Macaca mulatta: one gene and its partners. The protein of the gene in region 5 purifies or fractionates together with the protein of the main gene of each other region. This does not show direct contact. Links are inferred from orthologs where the notes say so. Each region holds a gene or a part of one and is shown on either strand. Other genes may lie near its edges.

Region 1 (3,726 bases), on a different chromosome or scaffold from region 5:
TCTCTCTTCAAATTCTCCATTTTCCCATCGAATTTCTCTAATAGTGTTATTTTTAAAATACCTATCTACTAAGTCATATGGGAATATAAAAGGTAAGATAAATCATAATTGTTTTTAAAAATACCATCAGATTTGAGTAGAAAGCTCATCAGATGTATCTTAGAAGGACTAAGATGTGCTGGATTGTAGCCTACATGTGATTAGAAAAAAAATCCTTACCTTTGCTAATGTTTTCTTGGAGTAAATATCAGTACGTAGACCAAAGTTCTGCAAATCAATTGGTTTTTCCTTGTTTTTCTCAGGAAAATTTAGCATCTGTTGAGCAGCAGGAACCTGAGTCAAATAAATGATAAACGGCTGAGTTAGCCTCTTTAAAGTCAAGAGGGTAAACGTTTTTTAAAATTTGTTTAGGCCGGGCGCGGTGGCTCATGCCTGTAATCCCAGCACTTCGGGAGGCCGAGGCGGGCGGATCACAAGGTTAGGAGCTCAAGACCAGCCTGACCAAAATGGTGAAACCCCATCTCTACTAAAAATACAAAAATTAGCTGGGCGTTGTGGCATGTGACTATAATCCCAGCTACTCAGGAGACTGAGGCAGTAGAATTGCTTATAACCCGGAGGCGGAAATTGCAGTGAGCCAAGATCATGCCACTACACTCCAGCCTGGGGAGCAGAGACAGACTCTGTCTCCAAAAAAAAAAAAAAAAAAAAAAAAAAAAAAGGTTAATATTGGAACTTAAGCCACTCTTGGTGGATTTCCTACGAAAAACAATAAATACCCACACTTCTACACTATACTTCTAACAAAAATTCAACATACAAGTTACATTTTGGTGTCCCTTAAGTCCAGAAAGGATAACAAATTTTCATTACTATATTCTATTTCACAATGGAACAAAATTTATACCTTAGGTTCCTGTGAATCCAACTTAATGCTATACAGAATTTGTCTGACATAATCTGTTTGATAATGTATATATGGATGTCCACTTTACAAATCTTAGGACAAGTTATAAAGATTTCTTTGCTTCACGTTTCTAGAACACAGACTGAAGGAAGGGAAAGAAGATTTTGCATCATCTGCTTACTTATGTGTGTCTTTTTGATGACAGAAGGATAAAGGGAGTTATGCATATAAAAGTAAATTAATAATTTGATAGACTAAGGCATTGGGTTTTGGGATTGGTGGGACAGCATTAACTTAAACACTATATATTCTTTTGGACTGTAATATTTACAGTACACCAAAACACACATACAAACAAGCATCAAAGAAACAGCACTAACAACAGCATTCCTAAATAGATATGCTATAAACAGACATTTGTTACTATTCAGGTCTGATGAAAAGTCAACATTAATTTACCTGAGGTGATCGAAGATGCAGAGGCACAAGCCCAGAGGGAGTATCAGCTAATACATTAAAATGAGGAGTAGGAGGAGGTCCCATTGCCATAGGTCTACTTTCCGGGTCAACTTGGTAATTAACGAGTCCCCACTGCTCTAAAAAGGCATGGACCCTAAAGAATAAAGCTCGGAAAGTTAAAATCTAAAGAATCAATTTCATGTGCTTTATTATCATCATTACACCATTAAAAAACAGAAACAATAAAACAAGTAAATGTGCTCAGCAGGCTATCAAACACCACAAATTACTTGACAGATTTTGTTTGTTATGTAGGGAACAATTTCTACAAGCCACAAATAATGTTGATAACACAGCACCCCCCAAACCTATTACAAAGTTTAATCATTTAAATCACAGAAATGAGAGCACAAATACGCATTTAGGTCCATGGTAATAAAAGAACCCACACACAGACCAAATACACACATAGAAAAAATCCACATTTTTCTTGACAGAGTCTCGCTCTGTCTCTCAGGCTGGAGTGCAATGGTGCAATCTCAGCTCACTGCAACCTACTCAGCCTCCTCGGTTCAAGCGATTCTCCTGCCTCAGCCTCCCAAGTAGCTGAGAGTACAGGTGCCCGTCACCATGCCCAGCTAATGTTTGGTATTTTTAGTAGAAACAGGCTTTCACCATGTTGGCCAGGCTGGTCTCGAACTCCTGACCTCTGGTGATCCACCCACCTCGGCCTCCCAAAGTGCTGGGATTACAGGTGTGAGCCACTGTACCTGGCGGGTTTTTTTTTTGTTTTTTTTTTGGCAGAGCTAGGGCGCAGAGTTTATCCACTCCCAACCTGAATCTACTCCTTCCCTGGTTATTTTATGATTTGACTAAAAAAATTAAAATGTGAACTGTAAAATCTAGAAAACTAAATTAAATATTTATCTTACTTATTTTATTTTTTTGAGACACAATCTCGCTCTGTCGCCCAGGCTGGAATGCAGTGGGACAATCTCAGCTCACTGCAATCTCTGCCTCCTGAATTCTCCTGCCTCAGCCTCCCCAATAGCTAAGATTACAGTCATGTGCCACCACGCTCGGCTAATTTTTATATTTTTAGTAGAGAAGGGGTTTCACCATATTGGCCAGGCTCGAACTCCTGACCTCAGGTGATCCGCCCACCTTGGCTTCTCCAAGTGCTGGGAATATAGGCGTAAGCCACTGCACCCAGCCTAAATTAAATATTTTAAATTTTCAACCTCTAATGCTGAACACAGTGCTCACGCCTGCAATCACAATACTTCAGGAGACCGAGGCAGGAGAATTGCTTGAGGCCAGGAGATTGAGACCAGCCTTGGCAACATTATGAAATCCCATCTCGACAATAAAATTAAATTAATAAAATAAAATAAAAATAAAATAAATTGAATGAAATGAAAGGAAACAAAATATAATCCACCCCTAAATGACACAACTAAAATTAGGTGTTTTACCCAGTTGAAACAACCAGTTTAATATGACAGCAAAGCATAAGTAAATTCCTACAGTTAAATGTCTCAGAAAAAGTCAAACATTTTACCTCATCACAGCACACACATCTCCAGTCAAGTTCCTCCGACAAGCAGTGCTAGTTAAATACTCTTGGGGGTTTAGGCGATACGTGTCAATCATAAAATTTCGATATGCCAAGTATCTAAAAAGCAATGGCAAAATTCATAAGGTGGACACGTATCCTTTCAGAAACAATGTTACTCAGAAACTCAAAAATCTTCAGATTCCTTAGAAATACAATAAATTAAGACAAGAGCATAAAAAAACGGTGATATTATATTGCATATTAAGTTATGAGTGAATTTAGAACCACAAATATGCAAAACAACTGTTTACTAATGTATAATAACAAGTAATGTAACGACATTCATGTGAAGTAACATAAATTCAAACTTGGTCATGGTGGTAGTTAACTGCAGAATTTGAAACTAACACATGGTTACATAGGCTATCTGCCTCACTACCACATATCTATACTTTACTGTGTGCAGGGCACTGTTATAAGCAATGTATGTCTGACAACTGAATCCTCATAATCGCTCCATATTGCAGGTAGGGTCTGCTATCATCCCATCTATGGGTGAGGAAACAAACACTGAGTTGTTAGAGAATTTGTCCTAGCCACAGGGTTGGTAATTGATGGAGCCAGAATTCATCGCACCCAGTGTGGTGGCTCTTCAATCTATGCTCTCAACCTCTGTTGCCTATCACTTCTGTATTTCAAATGTGGCACGTGGATTTGGCTCTGAAAATAGCTATGTAACTTCTCGTGGCAGTTCTTTAAGGGAGATCATGGCTGGGCAACAAGTAGAATCCATGAGACCAAA
Region 2 (3,726 bases), on a different chromosome or scaffold from region 5:
ACTCCACCAACGTTAATTCATAGTCTCATACAAAGGATGGGAAATAAGAGTTTTGGCTTCTTCCCACTCCAATAATAATATTCTTTCCAAGAGAGCTACATTTTGTATTATATCATGAACTTATTTTAGATCATCACAAATGTAATACTTTTATCTGTATTGCATGCTATGTGGTGGTAGGGGGTAGGGACTGGAGAATACACATTAAATAATCATTCCACTGAATCTGAAATCATCATTAGTTACAGTTAATTTAATTGGGAAGCTTCATAAATAACAGATTTTTAAAATAATATCAAACAAAAATCAGAAACCAATAAGAATCCAGCACAGCAATGCTAATTTGAACATAAACTTATTCCTGAAAATATACTTGGTTAATATTCATTTAGTGAGATTTTATCCAGCACTTTATTAATTCATCTTGTGAGGTCACCAATAAGAAAGAAGTAAACAGAACTCAGAGAATTTTCCCTCTTCTTTTTAAAATTTAAGCTGAAATCTACTCTCACAAACCAAGGGCCAAGTAGCACCTACTCACCACTAATGTCCATCTGTGATATTATAGCCAGTAAGGCAAATATACACCCAAATTCCTACAATAGCAAGGGGAGTGGCCTGTGATTTTACTCGCATCCTCCAACAGACCAAGTCAATACTTCCAAACTACTTTTACTCATTAATCATTCATTTTGCATGTTCCAGGCTTTAACAAAACAAACCCATCTGACTAACAATGAAAGGCTCCTTCTCCCCTTTGGCTTAGTGAGGCAATCTGTGGACTAGCAAACTTGAACATTCTGAGTCCACAAGGCAAAACTCACCAAAGTGAAAAGTAGCTCTAATTCATTCCACTAGTCTCTTACTAATTTAGAAATCAGAAAATAGGTCATTATACTGGCTTTTAATAACTACTGTAATGACAAGATAATTTACAGATTAGTCACTGTATGAGCCTGATGTGATTAAACACTCCAAACTCAGATATTGGTGAATAAATAAGCTGTAAGACACTGTTTTATGTATTTCTATAAATGATGAACTAATTCTGTAGAGTGGCTATCATATTTGTTAAAATTCTTTTCACAGTCGTGGCTAGCACTTAACATCTGTGCTTACGAAGAAGCTCCACTCTACTACCTTCTGGTTTTTCCTTGGAGTCATAAAGGCAAACATGAGCTACCCCACTTGTTCCCAAGGTTTTTCATCCATGGTAACAAAATGCCATAACTCTTGACTTTGTAAACCATAGTACAGGAGGAAAAACTCTTTCCCATATACAGAAGAGAAAACCAGAATAATAAGCAGTTCATCTTCATTATTTTTAGTTGTAAGCTGTTGGTCTAAAAGATTCACTATTTTACTATGTTTCTCTCTTTATATCTTTATAACAATATCGAATAGACTAAAGGCAACACAGATAACACTTTAGGAACAATTACATTTATTTCCTACATCTCAGATTCACTGGGGAAAAGGTATTACCTGACGCTGGAAATTGAGTAACCGAAGTGCTTTTAGTTCCACGGTTGCTTTGGTTCGTAAATCTGGTGGCAAAGAGCCAGGCAGATTTTCCAGTTCTTGTATCCTATGAGCTATGCGGGCCTGAAGTCTGAAGGAAACAATAAAACGGGGAAAAGGGGGCAGTGGAAAAACACATTACAATTTAATGTTACATGATAAACAATGACATCAGGTTTAAGTTCAGGGCAAAACATATTCCAGATACTGATAGTTGATTTCTGACACCCAACTAGAATTTTTGATGTTAAGCAGAGAAAAGCTACCTTTGTATTAATGCAGACAGGTATATGTTAACTTAACAATGTGGCTTCCTCCATAACCCCTATCTAACACCAGGGAAAGAGGGTTCACCCTGTATCTAGTGGGGAAGTCAAATGTCCTTGCTCGCTCTTAGCAGAGAGAGAAATGAGAGACAGAAACAATTGACTCGCTTCCTAACTCCCAGCCGGACAGAATGCAGAGCTGAGAGGACACACTTTTTTCTAACTTCTAGTTCTGTCCTAAGGCAACCGGACCATTTGTCTTCTTTGCCAAGATGCCGATGACGAACAGCCATTAAAGCGGAGAGAGCAAGAACGGTTTTAGGTGCTGATGCCACAGAAATCAGCCAACCCTAAACATTCAGAAAGCGCTCTGCCAGCCACAGCCACTTCCTCCGTGAGCAGAGCTTGCTTGAGAAAAGAAAATACAAATGAGGCTGTTTTTAAAAAATCAGGGCCAGCAGTAAATAGTACTCAAAAACCAAGAGTTTCTAGAAAAGGATGTTGAGGATTCTCGTTTTACACACCATCAAAAATATAACTGCATGTACTTCCGCATAATAAAGGCAGAGTAGAAAATAAAAGACCTCTCACTTTAGCCATTCACTTGGGATACTATTACTGTTAGATATATAAACTGCTGGTTTTAGAGTTCACCTGAATCCTATTCTGACAAATAATTATATGCCATTTAAGCCTGTTTTTAGAACTACATCCCCTAAATTTGAGGCAAACTGTACTGAACTAGATTTCAACAAAGAAAGAATAATGATAAAATGAGTAATAAGTTAAACTAGGTTAATATTAACAGAACTAAGTGCCTTTAATGCATAATTTTATTTAATTGTCTCTCTCTTACACACACAGACACGCCTCTCTCTATAAGGTAAATGTTATAATGGTCCCATGTTACTGATGAGGAAAACTGAAGACACCTGGAGATACCACAGAGCTAGTAAAGAAGGGGGCCAAGACTGGAACCTCAATTTGCCTGATACCAAAACCACTGCAATGAAACGGTAGATAATTAAAATATACTTTCTGAGAACCTTCCTGGACCTCAACTATAAAAGTTGAAAATTAAGAATTCTGTTTAAAATTATGCACAGCCATTAAAAAAAAAAAACAACCAAATCATGTCCTTTGCAGCAACATGGATGCAGCTGGAGGCCATTATCCTAAGCAAATTAATGCAGGAACAGAAAACCAAATACCGCATGTTCTCACTTTTAAGTGGCAGCTAAACATTGGGTATTCATGGACATAAAGATGGCAACAATACACACTGGCGACTACTAAACGGGGGAGGGAGGGAGGGCAGCAAGGGTTGAAAAACTTTTAGGTACTATGCTCATTAGCTGAATGATGGGATCCATTGCACCCCAAACCTCAGCATTATGCAATACACCCATGTTAAGAAACCTATTCATGCATCCCCTGAATCTCAAATAAAAGTCGAAATTATCTTAAAAAATGAATATTACAGTGTTTTCCAAACATGATGGTGTTGCCAGACTACAGAGCTGAGAGGACAGACTTTTTTTCTTTCTAACTTCTAGTTCTGTCCTAAGGCAACCAGGCCATTTGTCTTCCTTGCCAAGATGCTGATGATGACAGGCATCATTTTCATTAACATGAAAAAGTAAAACCTCCTGGTCCTAAATGCTGTAGGAGATCTAATACTTCATATAGCCAAATATCAAAATGAGTGATTTTTTGTAAAAACCTACAGTTGCTTAGTTTGGAAGGGAAATAAAATGTCATCATTTTTAAAAATTTTAAAATGGTGGTAAGGAAAACTATTTTTCAGGGACTTCACTAAAAATAATATCTACGACTGATTCTTATTTTATTTGCTAGATACATGTTATTCATTCTAATTTATTAAATGATTTGTCATCATAATGTGTTAATATTATCACTGCTACCATGCTATTGTTAT
Region 3 (4,233 bases), on a different chromosome or scaffold from region 5:
TGAAACTACTCATGTATTCCTTTAACTGGAAATTCAGCTCCCAGATTTTTATTTCCTAGTAGCTACAGCTACATTGAATTTTCACTTTTAATTTTCATCCTCTTTCCACTAAGCATTGCTCGCTAACCATCTTATGTTACTAGGAAGCCAATACTGGCCTTTCACTAACTCTTCATATCTTGGTCTTCCTCCCAGACCTCTTGAAGATTGTAGGTGCAAAGCTGGGCATCAAGGGCCAGAGACAATGTTTCTGAACCTATCAGCGCCAATCACAAACTAAGCACTCACCAACAAATCACTTAGGCTTTCTGGGCCTCTCATTCTCTTCCTCTGTAATTTGAGATCAAAACTGCCTGCCCCAAAGGGCTGTTAAGAAGGATATATGAGATTTACATATACACTGGGTAGTCATTATTACTGTGACTCCATCTTCTCCATTTCAGGAAAAACTCATTCTGTTGTTATCAATTCAACAAAGCCCTGTTAGTGAGGAATTAACTAAAACCTTCAAGAAATTCAGGTCATTCAGAGCCTCTTTTGTACTCTGATTGACCCCAAGTTCTTCGCAGACCAGGTAGATGTCACCCCACTATTTGCTGACACCAGCATTTCTCCATTACATATTTGAAAGAAAACCAATTCTCACTTAAAAACCATTTCTCCCTTGGAAAGCTTCTGTGGCATCTTGACTATGTCCTTCCTCCTCCCCTGGCTGGGTAACACTTGAAGCCACTGGCCTTGTCCCATGCCCAGCCAATTTTAAAAAGAAAGGAATCATGGACTCTATCTAATGGAAATCACACCCTCTCAATATTAGAATCATCTAGGTCAGATTTTCATTTTGTAATGAGTACACTGGTCCAGGGAGGTAAAAATGACTTGCCTGAGGTCATAAAGCTGGTGAGTGGCCCATCCCATGCCAAGCTGCTGACCACCCACCAACTGCTCATTTTGCTCCATCACCAATAGGTATCACCACCTCAAGGGATCAACCAACAAGGCAACCAGAGAACAGAGCCATTAGCCAGGTAGATAAGGGGTCAAGAGTCCTGGCACTTGGTACCAACCACAGAGGAGACTTTGACAGGACTGAGATAGGGAGGGGCTATCGAAGAAAAGAGCCATGGAGAGAAAGGAATTCTATAATGGCTAAAGGGCAAGGAGGAAGAGAGAGAGAAAGAAGGCTCCCAGCACTGCCACAGATGCTGGGTGCTGTATCTTAGCCCCACTGCGGGCGTGGGGTGCTGCCTTCTTTGCTGTCTCTGAAACAATTCTGACAGTAACTGCAATCCTCACCACATCCCATCTTTGACCAGGATATCCTCAAAGCAGGAGCCTGTATGTTGTAGCATTATTCTACAACCAATGCTAACTGCAAAACAACGGGGACAGTAATACCAATTTTTTGCCTTCACTTTAAATTGTGGAGACAGAAACTTCGAACAGAAGATGTGACTGTCACCTACAACGAAAGGGGTACATTGAGAGAACATCCAGATTTTCTGGCTCTCCTTTTTTTTTTTTTTTTTTCTGGCTTCATCAAGGATTTAGTAACTATTTTATTTGTAAGAAAGCATATGTGACCTCTGCAATGAAATTAGGTAAAAGAAAATGTTTAGGAGGAAAGGAAGTAGATGAGAGACAAAAATGGGGATAGGAGGAGCACAGAAGGAGAAGGAATCCAGTGGAAAGAAAACTGGTGAGGGAAAAGATGCCCTGCAGAAAAGTCCCCTTTCCCCCACTGTCTGGACACCGGTCAATGACATTAGATAGAGACCCACAGCATTCAAGTCCCCTCACTGGCTCCTTTTCTTCCCACTACACCACCCTAGAATCTGAAAATCTCCAGACAGAAAGGACCTTAGCAGTTATCTGGTCCAACCACTGCATTGTGCCCTCCAACACGCAGAGGGGGCCGGTACTGCCCATGTGCCCCTATTTCCCGGCTCGGCATACTGAGGCTCAACGACATCGATTGCAGTGTAAGCGCTCAGAGTCCTGGCACTAGACCACAAAGCCATTCTCTCAAATATCTGCACAACTGGCTCCACACCCTCGCTTCCCCGCCACGGTGGGTCTCCCGCGGACCGGCCGAAGGAAAAGCCAGAGTGAGAGTCCCAGGTGTGTGGGAGTCCCGGGCTCGGGTTCCAGACACCAACCGGTGCCGGGAGCCCTTCCCGTCGTCCGCCCCGGGACAGCGCGACACCAGCGCTCTCCACTTCCAAACTTATCCCAGCTAACTTTTTCTCGGGGTTGCCTTCACGGTCCTGCCGCCAGCGCTCCGGGGTGCCCAGGGCGACCCCCAGCGGCCGCGCACGCGACGCCGCCCGCCCTCCTGCCCCTTCCCCATTCATTCCTCTCCGCGCGTGGGGCAGCCCTCCCGCAAGCCTCCCGCCTTCGTGCCTCTCTGCCAACCCCGGGAAGGATCGGCTCCCTCAGTGCCGTGTCTCGAAGCGAGGGATGCAGCGGGACGGCGAGCTGGGCAGCCTCGGACACCCCAGCGCACCCGCCCACCCACCTCACGCCCTCTCCCAGCCCCGCAAGCCAGCGCCGTCTGCGGAGAGAAGCGGCGCTCCAGGCTGGCGGCAGAGTGGACGCCAGACCTCCGTCACCAGGAACCTTTCGCGCCCCAAGTCAAAAGAGAAAGTTAGTTCTTTCGCTTTGCGGGAAACTTTTCAAAGCGCCGAGGAGCAGCGGTGGCTTAGAAGAAGTTAAAGCCAGAGTTATTTCCAAGCCGGAGACTGGGGGCGCGGATCTGGGGTGGGTCAGGGGTCGGCGGACTGGTTACTTAGAGGGGCGCGAAGGGAATGAAGGCAAGCCGCCCTCGTCGCGCTCACTCCCTTGGCTTCCAGCGCTCACCTCCAGGCTCCGCTCGGGGCGGCCAGGGTCCGGAGGACGGGCAGGGTCGGGACCGGGTCGGGCGGGCTGTTTGTCTGGCCGGCGGGCGAGCACCAAGGACTCACGGCCGGCGCGCGGGCTGAAGGGTGCGCTCGGGCGGCGGCGAGAGAAGAGAGCTGTGCAGTGCGCGCCTGGCTGCGTGCGACTGTGGCTTGGAGAGCGTTGCATCACCCCTTTTATAGCCCTCAGGCGGGCGGCGCGGTCGTTTACTCCGTGTTGCCAGTCCCGGGCTGACGTAATGCTATTAATAGCTTCCCGGGAGAACCGGCCGAACGGAGCGGAGGAAGGGGGTGGGGGAGGGGCCAAGGCGGGGCGGAAGGCGGGTGGAGATGGGGGGGCACTGGTGATGCAAGTTCGGGGAGGAGCCAGCCGAGGCGCGTTCCCCCAGCCTCGCTTACTGAGACACACACCAGCCCGCCCTCTCTCTCCATATCAGGACCGGAGTCGCCTGGGATAGCCGCCAGATGTGCGTACTCGCTGCTGCGTGTTCCAGGCATGACCAATGGTGCCCAAGCCAGCGGCATGACTCCACCGCGCTGGCATCTCTCCCTCCGCTAGGTTGAGGAGCGGGGGGGCGGGGAAGGTGGGGAGGCGGGTCCCGGCCCCAGCCCAGACTAGGTGAGGCTGGGAAGCGGGCACGACCTTTCTCTAAAATGCGTGGTCATTTTCTGGAGCTTCAGGAAAATACCCCCTCCCCCACTGGCCTCCTACTTCTCTAGCAGGGACAGAATAGGGGCAGAAGCGTTAGTCTGTGATGTGGGGAAGGTGTCCAAAGTCACTCTTCGGTGTATCCACGCCATTACCCGCCGGGTGTGACCTCCGCGGCGGGGACCGCGAGAAGCCCGCCCGTTAACACAAAAGCGGAGGGCAGCCCTCTGCTGGCACCGTGCGCCGGAGCCCACGGCCCCGGACCCTCCACATAGACGCACACGCAGGACAGCTCCGGGCTCCGAGACTAGGGCGAGTGGTAGGACCGTATCGGTTCGATTTTTCTTCTTTTTTTTCAATCACAAAGCGTTTGAAATTGACAAGAACGTCTCAGTGAAACCAACAAGAGCGTGAAAAGATCGGAGTCCCGGAGGAATCAGAGGCAGCCCGGTGGGAGCGTAGGAGGGGGCGGAAGCCAGTGGCCAGGACTAGGGGGAAAGAGAAGGTGCTTTGGGGTCCGCGAACCTGCCCAGGCCTGGGGGTCGCCCCGCTCTCAGGCGATATTTAGGGAAAACCCATCTTCAGCTTTCACGGGTTCTTCTGCTCCCAGAGCCTACTGGACTGGGACCAGACGGCCCGGAATGGGGACGCACTGACCACAGGCGGAACCCGCAGCAGAAATCCCCT
Region 4 (4,453 bases), on a different chromosome or scaffold from region 5:
TCTGGTTTTAATAAGGGAGACTTCAACTACTTTATCTTCTCCAACGACATTTTAGTAAGAATAAAAACGATAAAGAAATGCCTACCTATAGACATATTTCATATTGGAAGGAAGAGCTTGAAGACAAAATAAGTAGAAACAGCACACATTGGTGAGACTGTTTACCTGATCTAACATGATCTAACAATTTACCAGACAAGAATGTATGTATCATTAAAACCCAAGTTTTCCAAAATACAAAAAGTTGGGTAGAAAAAATGTACATTATTCTTTGAAGAGTTAACGCTACCTATAGATAGATGTTTGATGTATGGAATATTTTTCAACCATACTCACAGAGCTTTCAGATCCTGAATACCAATAAAGAGTACCTCCACCCCCATTATTTGTTAAAATGCTGACAACCATTTCTACTATTTATTTATTTGAGACGGAATCTCGCTGTCACCCAGGCTGGAGTGCAGTGGAGTGATCTCGGCTCACTGCAACCTCCGCCTCCCGGGTTCAAGGGATTCTCCCGCCTCAGCCTCCTGAGTAGCTGGGACTACAGGCGCCACCACGCCCGGCTAGTTTTATGCACTTTTAGTAGAGACGGGGTTTCACAGTGTTAGCTAGGAAGGTCTCCTCACCTCGTGATCCCCCCGCCTCGGCCTCCCAAAGTGCTGGGATTACAGGAATGAGCCACCGCGCGCGCCCAGCCTCTATTATCTAAGCTTAAAAATAAAAAACAACGCCAAAGAAAAAAGTGCAGGAATTCCTGGGTTACATATTTAACTAATAATAATATAGTGCCCCAAATACGAAATAAACATTCGGATAAGGTATTTTAAAAAGGATTTTCAGGAAATGCACCCGGAGCTACAGAAGGTATTATATACCCTACACACACACACAAAAGGTCCCTGAAAGCTCCTTCCTTACTGACAATTAAAATACATAACATCTAAGTTCTAAATTTCCACGATATTACATTTTAAATCATTTCTTAAAACTTAATGGCAGTAGCATTCTCTCAAAGCAAGATTAAACGTCTTGGAAAGGCAACATACACATCACGGCAAATTTGGAAGATTCTCAGAAATTCTTTTACACATCACGGTAAATCTGGAAGATTCCTAGAAATTATTTTACAAAGACGAGGATTCTTAACTATTACGCAACTACTGACGGCCTTAAAGATCCATGAACTTTCTTAATCTTCAGAGGATATCTATTTTTAAAACGTATTTTACAAGGATGTTCCTATCATTTTGAAACAAAGTTTTTACGGTGGATTCCTCGAGTAAGAAAAAAAATGAATACATGATAAAACTGTTTCTGTGTTTGCACTTCAGGGCACTTAAACCTGTAGGTGTTACTTTTTAAAAAGCTTTTATAAAGCTTTACCTTCATAATTTTGATTCATGAGACCAAAGCTATATGGCTATATAAAGATTAGAACGGCTGTTACTGACAATGATAACGCCAGTGGTCATGTTTCTTCAAATAGGACAAAAAGTGTGCTCAAAGGAAGTCAGTTTTTGTTCTGATTTTAAATGTATATCGTAAATGCATGCATTGTGACGTCTCCATAATTTAAAACCTCTAAGAAATTTAAACTTTCACATTATAATTCAGGGATTAGTCAATCCCTTAGTACCAGTTAAATAATAGCCAGGAAAGCATTAGAAAACCTGAAGGTACATGTAAAGAAATGCTTTACATCACTACTTAAAATAGGTGTTGAATTTTAAGAGAAACATTTCTTTCAGTAAAATTTCTGATGCCTGAGGTCCATCAGGAATAATCTCTTTTACTACATGATATTCACAGTAGTTTTGCTCTTGGCCTCACCAGTTTTAAGACTCTCCATTAAGGAAAGCCAATTTTATACTACCTAGGGGCACAAAAATAGTCCCCAGCTCCTCCTCTCTTTTTCCTCCTAGGTTCGGTTAAACGAGCGAACATGGAAAACACGTACACACACTCCCTTTCGGCCCTGGTTCCTAGGGCATGATGAAAAGCAAATTATTTCTTTACATAAGGTCTGCTGTCCACCCAAAGAGATTAAAAAAAAATAGGGGAAAATACCAGAATCACTCTGCACCCACACCTAAGCCCCGCCCCACCGGGAAAAAGTGGGGGGTAGCGGGACTGTGAGGGTGGCGGAAAGGACGGAAAAGGCCGAGACTTGCAGCTCCCAGGTTCTCCACACCATTCTTTCCTTCAGGCTGCACCGCAGCCAGGGACCCTGATTCTATTTTCAGCCGCGCCTCCCGATCCTCCTCCCCGCCACCATCACAAATACACGGTCCTCAATCGCTTGAACACTGGGTGGGGAGACTAGAGTGGGCCCTCTCCCCGCCCAACCCAAGGACTGTGGGTGGGAGAGGTCTCCCTGCGCACACGGCTGACTCGACGCGCGCCCCGAGGACCTCTGAACTGACCCAAGCAGGGGGAAGATAAATCGGAGGGAGGGGTCTAAGAGGAGCCGTTATTCCTTTTTCCTCTGCCTTAGGAAAGCGCGCGAGAGGGAGGGGCCGGAACAACGAACGCTGGTTACCTAACGGTCCGGCCCAGCCAGTCAGTCTCCCAAAGCCCACACCGCGCGGGCCGCTAAGGTGGCATCACAGCCACAATCGCCCCAAGGGCTAAGAAGCACGTCAGGAGCACCCGAGGTGATGGGAAACGGGGGGTGGGGACTGTGCTGAGCGACGTCGCCATGTTAGCACCTTCTTTCTCCGTATCCCTACAGTCTCCAGCCCTGCTGACCTCTGCCCATCATTACTCACCTTTCCAGGTCACTAGTTCATGATCCTTTCGGTCACTCGTGAGCCCCGAGCACAGCCGTGTTTACAAACCACCCCTGGACGAAAAGGCTGAACGGCACTTTAAAGGCCACGGGCTCCCACAGGCTTCCGTCCTCTCTCGCGAGATCGGACTGACAACCCTCCTCCCCCCCCCCGACCCGCCCCGCTCCCGGCATCCCCCCCTTCCTTCTCGCGCCCCTCCCCTCCATGCTCACGCCCCGTCTTGCCTTCCTTCTGAGGGAGAGCCTCCGAGTCAGGTGATTCCGTCAGGCTTAAGGAGAAGAAGGCGGGTCTTCGGCAGGGCGGGTAGAGGGGACGGGCACCAAAGAGCACTCGGGCGCTCGTGATTGGGCAAGGAGCCCGAAGGGCGGGAAGCAGTTCTGGAGGGGGCGGGACCAGAGGGCCCAAGGAGCGTTACCTCTGTAAACCCAAGGCTGTGGAAGGCTGTGATTGGCTGTCGGCTGGAGGAGGGGGCGGGTGCAGGCGGCGGAGGAGGGGTAGGCAGGGTGTTGGCGGTGTGAAGCGAGGATGGTGAGCTCCAGAAAGGCTGGTAGGGGGAAGCAGGATGGGTCCTCCGAGCCCAGCCCCAGGAGCCGGGTGTCTCCGTTGCCGTCGCTTCCCAGCACTAGGTAGGGAGGTGGGTAAAGGTAGGCTGCGTTCCTCAGCCTACCCCTGGCTCCCCGGGAGTCTGAGACGGGGAGCTTCGGGTTAGGTGAGGTTTGCGGGAGGCAGAGTTTGCTGGTAATTCCCCATCCCTACCCTCCAATAAACCTCACACAACTTAAAGATTTTAATATTAACTGTAGGGATGTTGGTTATTCAATAAATAGGCACAAGTTGAAAAGTATGATCAGAGGCCTCTGAAAATTTACTCAATAAAAGATTTTCAGTCTTTTATTTTTCCATTTATTAAATACTGATTTCTAGTCTGTAACAAAATTATGAACTAGTTTATATATTAACATAAAATACACTCTCAAAGTTGTTGAAAGGTTTTAGGGGATATTATAAGAGATAATGAGCCTGAAGTTCAAGAATGATATCTGGCATAAAGTGAAATTGTAATGGCATTGACATTTTCACAGGTAGGTCTCTGGACTGCATACATGTATATAAGCCAACTCAGTCCTCTTTTAAAACTAATTTTAGTTAAAAAACATTAAGCCAAATTATTAACACTTTCCTACTTAAAATGAAAGTGTTGTCCCCATATAGTAACAGTAATGTTGTAGTAGTGTCATTGTAGTGTAACACTAACTATGTCAGCAAAACCTCACAGTTCAGATTACTCATGATGGAAATGGTGGACAAAATGTTTGATTGACATCACAGTTGTTAGGTCTAGAAAACATTGATTAAAATGATGCTTCTCTCTCCATCTCCCAAAACAACTAATGTGAGAAAAAGAATTAGAAATGTTACGACATTTCAAAAGAAGTTTGGGTCAATTAGAATAGATTTTTTAAAAAATTATTTTTCCATTCATGTGTATTAAAATTTGAAATTATTTTTTTCAGTATTCAATTGGGCAGTAGCTTTGGTTTTAAATTTCTCATTTCTACTTCTCTGGTCTGTTGTCAAGCAGTTAAATTATCTACATGATGCATTCGAGGAACACATTTTGAAGAAAGTCTTTCAGTTCTTTTTAGACAAGAGAAGAACTA
Region 5 (3,732 bases):
AAACAGATTCGCCCACGCACCCAGGATCCCCTCTTTAAAATGCACATGTATACACAAACTGTGTTTTAAACAACCCACCCAACTACACTTACTAAAAGCATCTGCCCTGACTCGGGCTCAGCAGGACCAAGACCTGAACCCCTCCTCCTACAGTCACAGGCCTGCCTATCTAGTCCCCAAACACAGGGCAGGGGTCACAGACCTCCCAGCCCTTCCAAACCCAAGCCTGACACTCGGGACCAGTCAGAGGTCCCGGAATCTCTTCTCAAGCAGGGTTCCCAGCCACCGGTCCCGGCGCCCAGGAGCTCTGAGTTAGCCTGAAAGCCTGACCCATTACTCTTCTCCCCTTTCCCCCAGGGCTGGAACCCCATCTCCAAGCAGACCCTGTGGGTGGGGGGAGGGTGTAGCAGAGGAGGCAGAAAAACCAGCTGCAACACCCCCACCAACCACCAAAACCTCCAAAAATAACAGCAGCCCCCCACACACAACCCACTACACACCAGAAACGCAAAAACAAAATCCTACAAATCCAAAATAAAGCAAAAAAAAACAAAAGCCAATTACTGCCCCCAAAAGGCTTTGTAACCATTCTCAAAAAAAAGTTTATTAAAAGTGTTCTTACTTAATGCTTGAAACGGAAGATTCCCAAAATATACAGACGCCTCTTTTCTCATAGAAATAGATTATTTTTTATAATACAAAAAAAAAGACCAAAAAACAAAACAAAACAAAACATCAACAGCAACAAGCCCGTAGGAACATCTTTAAGCGATTACTCAGGGCCCGGCTGACAGTTACACGTGGGTTGCGTCAGTCCCGTGTACACACGCGTTCAGCCATGTTTAAACCGATTGCATCAACTTCGAAACCGGCCCGCCCGCCGGCGCCTGGAGAGGGGCAGAGGGAGAGGCAGAGAGTTTATCATTCATCTGTACACATAGACGTTTCTTCTTTAAATAACACCACGGGCGGGCGCCCCATCTGCATGTGCGGTTGGTTTGGACAAAAATATAGATATATATATATAATAAAATATTAAAATTACCGACGGGCTCCCCGCGCTGCCAAGTGCCCCAGTGCCAAAGTTTTGCCGGCGCCGCCGGGGGCGGAGGCGGGGGCGCGGGCGCGGGCGCTTCCCGGAGTCTCGGCCCCGGCCGGCAGGGGGACGCGCGCGGGGGCCGCGCTAGCAGTGGCCGGAGGAGGCGAGCAGGGGCTCGGGCAGCTGCTTGAACAAGTTCCGCAGGGTGCTGAGCTCGCGCGACAGCTGCTCCACCTTCTTCTGCAGCCGCTCGTTCTCGGCCGTGAGCTCCAGGACCTTGTGCTGCGTCTCCAGGTTGCGCATCTTGGCCTTGTCGCGGCTCTTGCGCACGGCGATGTTGTTGCGCTCGCGCCGGATCTTGTACTCGTCGCTGTGCTTGTCCACTGTCTTCTTGGCCTTGCTCTTGACCTGCGAGGGCGGCGGCGCGGCCCCCGCGTAGCAGGCGGCCGGGGGCGCCTTGGCGTCGGCGGGGCTCGGCGTGCCGGGCGGGCTGGACGACGAGGACGTGGAGAGGCTCCCGCTGCTGCCGCTCGGCACCGCCTGGTAGCCGAGGTAAGCGCGCAGCGCGTACGGGAAGCCCGCCGCCATGCCTGCGCCGCCGCCCGGCGCCCCGGCCTCCTCCTTCCGCTTGCAGTCCGCGGGCTCGAAGCCCGGCTCCGCCTTGAGCTCGGCGGGCGGCGGCGGCGGCGGGGGTGGCGGGTGCAGGGGCGCGAAGCAGCCGGGGTGCAGCGCGCCCTTGGCGGCCCCCAGGCGCCCCAGGCTCACGTAGCCGTACTCGGCCGGCTTCTTGCAGTTCTTGCCCCCGTAGTCGTCGGAGAAGAGGTCGGAGAGGAAGTCGTGGTGCTGCCCGGAGGAGGCGGGCGCGGGGGCGGGCGCGGGCGGAGCCGCCTCGAAGGTGTCCGTGGCCGTGGCGGGCGCCGGGGCCTGCGGCGCGCCCAGCGGCTCCAGGTACGGGCTGAAGTCGATGGCGCGCTCGTGGTCGCCGATGCTGCCCAGCTCGCCGGCTGGGGGGCGCGGCCCGGGTCTGGCCGCGGGGGGCGCCGCGGGGGCCGCCTTGCCGCCGTACGCAGCAGCCAAGCAGTCCGCCTCGTAGTAGAAGTTGGCCACTTCCATGGATTTAAAGGCAGGCGGCGGCGGCAGGGGGAGACATGCTGGGTCCCAGGCCACCAGGCGTTGCATGAACGCGGGTGCCCGGGGAGGGGGCCTGGGGCTGCCCGCTCCGGCCGGCCCGCAGGTGGCGCGGCCTCCCTGCTCTGAGCTGTCGCCGCTGCGTCGCTGCTGCTGCCGCCGCTGCCGGGGTGGCCGCTATTAGTGCGGGGGCTGGTGGCTGAACCCTCGGGTGGGTCCCCTTCCCAGTCCCGTGCGCGGCTCTGACTCGCTAAAGTTTCTCCTGAGCCCGGTTATTTATAAGGGCGGCCCGTAGCAACCGCTGCGTCACACCGGCCCCTCCCGCCGCGCCGCCGGGACGCGAAGGACACGGCCGCGGCCGCCCGAGACCCCCAGGAGGACGGCGGCAGGGCGCAGCGGAGGGACCGGGCACCCGGAGCGCGTTTTCGGGGGGGGTCCCCGGGCCGCAGGGGGCGGCCTCACGCCCCCTGCCCACCCCCGCCCGGCCGCCCCGGGATTGGGAGCGAGAGGGGGCGGTGCGACCCCGCCCCCAGACCGCCCCTCTGGGCTGGAGGCTGTCCTGGAAGGCGGGGGAATCGGAGGAGGGGGCGACCTGATCGCCTTCCCCCGGAGATGCGGCCCCGGCCCGCCCCCTGCTGGAGGAGGCGGAGGTTTCAGGAGGACCGAGCAGAGCCCCGACGGCGGACCAGGGGCCGCTCCCCGGGCGGAACCCTGGAGACCCCAGCCCGCAACTCTAGCTCCAGGAGAAGCGACCCATCTCCGTAGCCCTTCCCCCTAAACTCCCACCTCTTCCACAGGTCCCCGGCTCTAGAAAGGAGTAGACTCCACGCCTGTGACGATTCCCCTCTTAAGCCACCGCCAATATGAGGACCCCGGGGGTCGGGGGGACGGAGCAGGATCGCGCTGCGCTGGGGGCTGGACCCTGGTCCACGGTGTCCCGCCCCTAGCCCCGCCCACCGCACCTGCCGCCTGCTTGCGGCTTGTACACACCCGGGTCTTCTCTTGCCCCGCGCCGCGCCATCCGACCTGGGCCCTGCCACACTGTGCGACCTTGGATGAGTCACTTCTCCCAGCTGCAGTCCATGAAGGGTGTCGCTACTGTCAGCGGTGGTGGCATTGCTCCCACCAGACTCCCAAACCTAAGGCTTACGTTGTGGGCTGCACATCAGAGAGAAAGGGACCCCCATGGATTGTGCCAGTGGAGGCCCAGAGGGAGCATGGCATGGCATACCAAGGTCACATGGCCGCATGTCCCCCATTCATCCCAAACGAAATGCCCTCATCTGGGCCCTAAGACCTATTGCCAGCCCCAGAGGCCAAAAAGCTTCTGTTTCTGAAGCTGCTGGGGAGGGGCTTAAGCCAGGCCTCACGGGAGGGGGGTGGCATGCAGGAAACAGAGAAGGAAAGAGAAAGAGAAGTTTTTACCAAGTCCCTGCCCTGTGCTCAGGGTGGGCCTGGACCCCGAGGTTCTTTTTCACCCCACCAGGAAGATGCTTTTGCTGCTGCCGTTTCACAGATGGGAAAGTGACAACGGCCTGCCTGGACTTGAACACAGACCCAAGGCC

Evidence for each region.
Region 1: the proteins of CEBPB (region 5) and SMARCC1 purify together in Homo sapiens (affinity purification with western blotting; 3 studies listed by BioGRID, with this or other methods). This does not show direct contact. The link is inferred for Macaca mulatta from reciprocal best matches to the Homo sapiens genes CEBPB and SMARCC1.
Region 2: the proteins of CEBPB (region 5) and SMARCA2 purify together in Homo sapiens (affinity purification with western blotting; 5 studies listed by BioGRID and IntAct, with this or other methods). This does not show direct contact. The link is inferred for Macaca mulatta from reciprocal best matches to the Homo sapiens genes CEBPB and SMARCA2.
Region 3: the proteins of CEBPB (region 5) and ATF3 purify together in Homo sapiens (affinity purification with western blotting; 3 studies listed by BioGRID and IntAct, with this or other methods). This does not show direct contact. The link is inferred for Macaca mulatta from reciprocal best matches to the Homo sapiens genes CEBPB and ATF3.
Region 4: the proteins of CEBPB (region 5) and ATF2 purify together in Homo sapiens (affinity purification with western blotting; 3 studies listed by BioGRID and IntAct, with this or other methods). This does not show direct contact. The link is inferred for Macaca mulatta from reciprocal best matches to the Homo sapiens genes CEBPB and ATF2.

Annotation. Positions count from the first base shown.
Region 1 is NC_133407.1:111,044,908-111,048,633, forward strand, and holds part of SMARCC1 (SWI/SNF complex subunit SMARCC1), read right to left. Parts: intron 3,042-3,726; coding exon 2,928-3,041; intron 1,521-2,927; coding exon 1,367-1,520; intron 334-1,366; coding exon 220-333; intron 1-219. UniProt on the Homo sapiens protein: Involved in transcriptional activation and repression of select genes by chromatin remodeling (alteration of DNA-nucleosome topology).
Region 2 is NC_133420.1:97,412,880-97,416,605, forward strand, and holds part of SMARCA2 (SWI/SNF-related matrix-associated actin-dependent regulator of chromatin subfamily A member 2), read right to left. Parts: intron 1,613-3,726; coding exon 1,486-1,612; intron 1-1,485. UniProt on the Homo sapiens protein: ATPase involved in transcriptional activation and repression of select genes by chromatin remodeling (alteration of DNA-nucleosome topology).
Region 3 is NC_133406.1:70,339,974-70,344,206, reverse strand, and holds the start of ATF3 (cyclic AMP-dependent transcription factor ATF-3), read right to left. Parts: upstream 2,933-4,233; 5' UTR 2,860-2,932; intron 1-2,859.
Region 4 is NC_133417.1:80,095,118-80,099,570, forward strand, and holds the start of ATF2 (cyclic AMP-dependent transcription factor ATF-2), read right to left. Parts: upstream 2,926-4,453; 5' UTR 2,772-2,925; intron 2,432-2,771; exon of another isoform or gene 2,356-2,431; intron 1-2,355. UniProt on the Homo sapiens protein: Transcriptional activator which regulates the transcription of various genes, including those involved in anti-apoptosis, cell growth, and DNA damage response.
Region 5 is NC_133415.1:103,041,784-103,045,515, reverse strand, and holds CEBPB (CCAAT/enhancer-binding protein beta), read right to left. Parts: upstream 2,420-3,732; 5' UTR 2,219-2,419; coding exon 1,184-2,218; 3' UTR 579-1,183; downstream 1-578. UniProt on the Homo sapiens protein: Important transcription factor regulating the expression of genes involved in immune and inflammatory responses. Also plays a significant role in adipogenesis, as well as in the gluconeogenic pathway, liver regeneration, and hematopoiesis.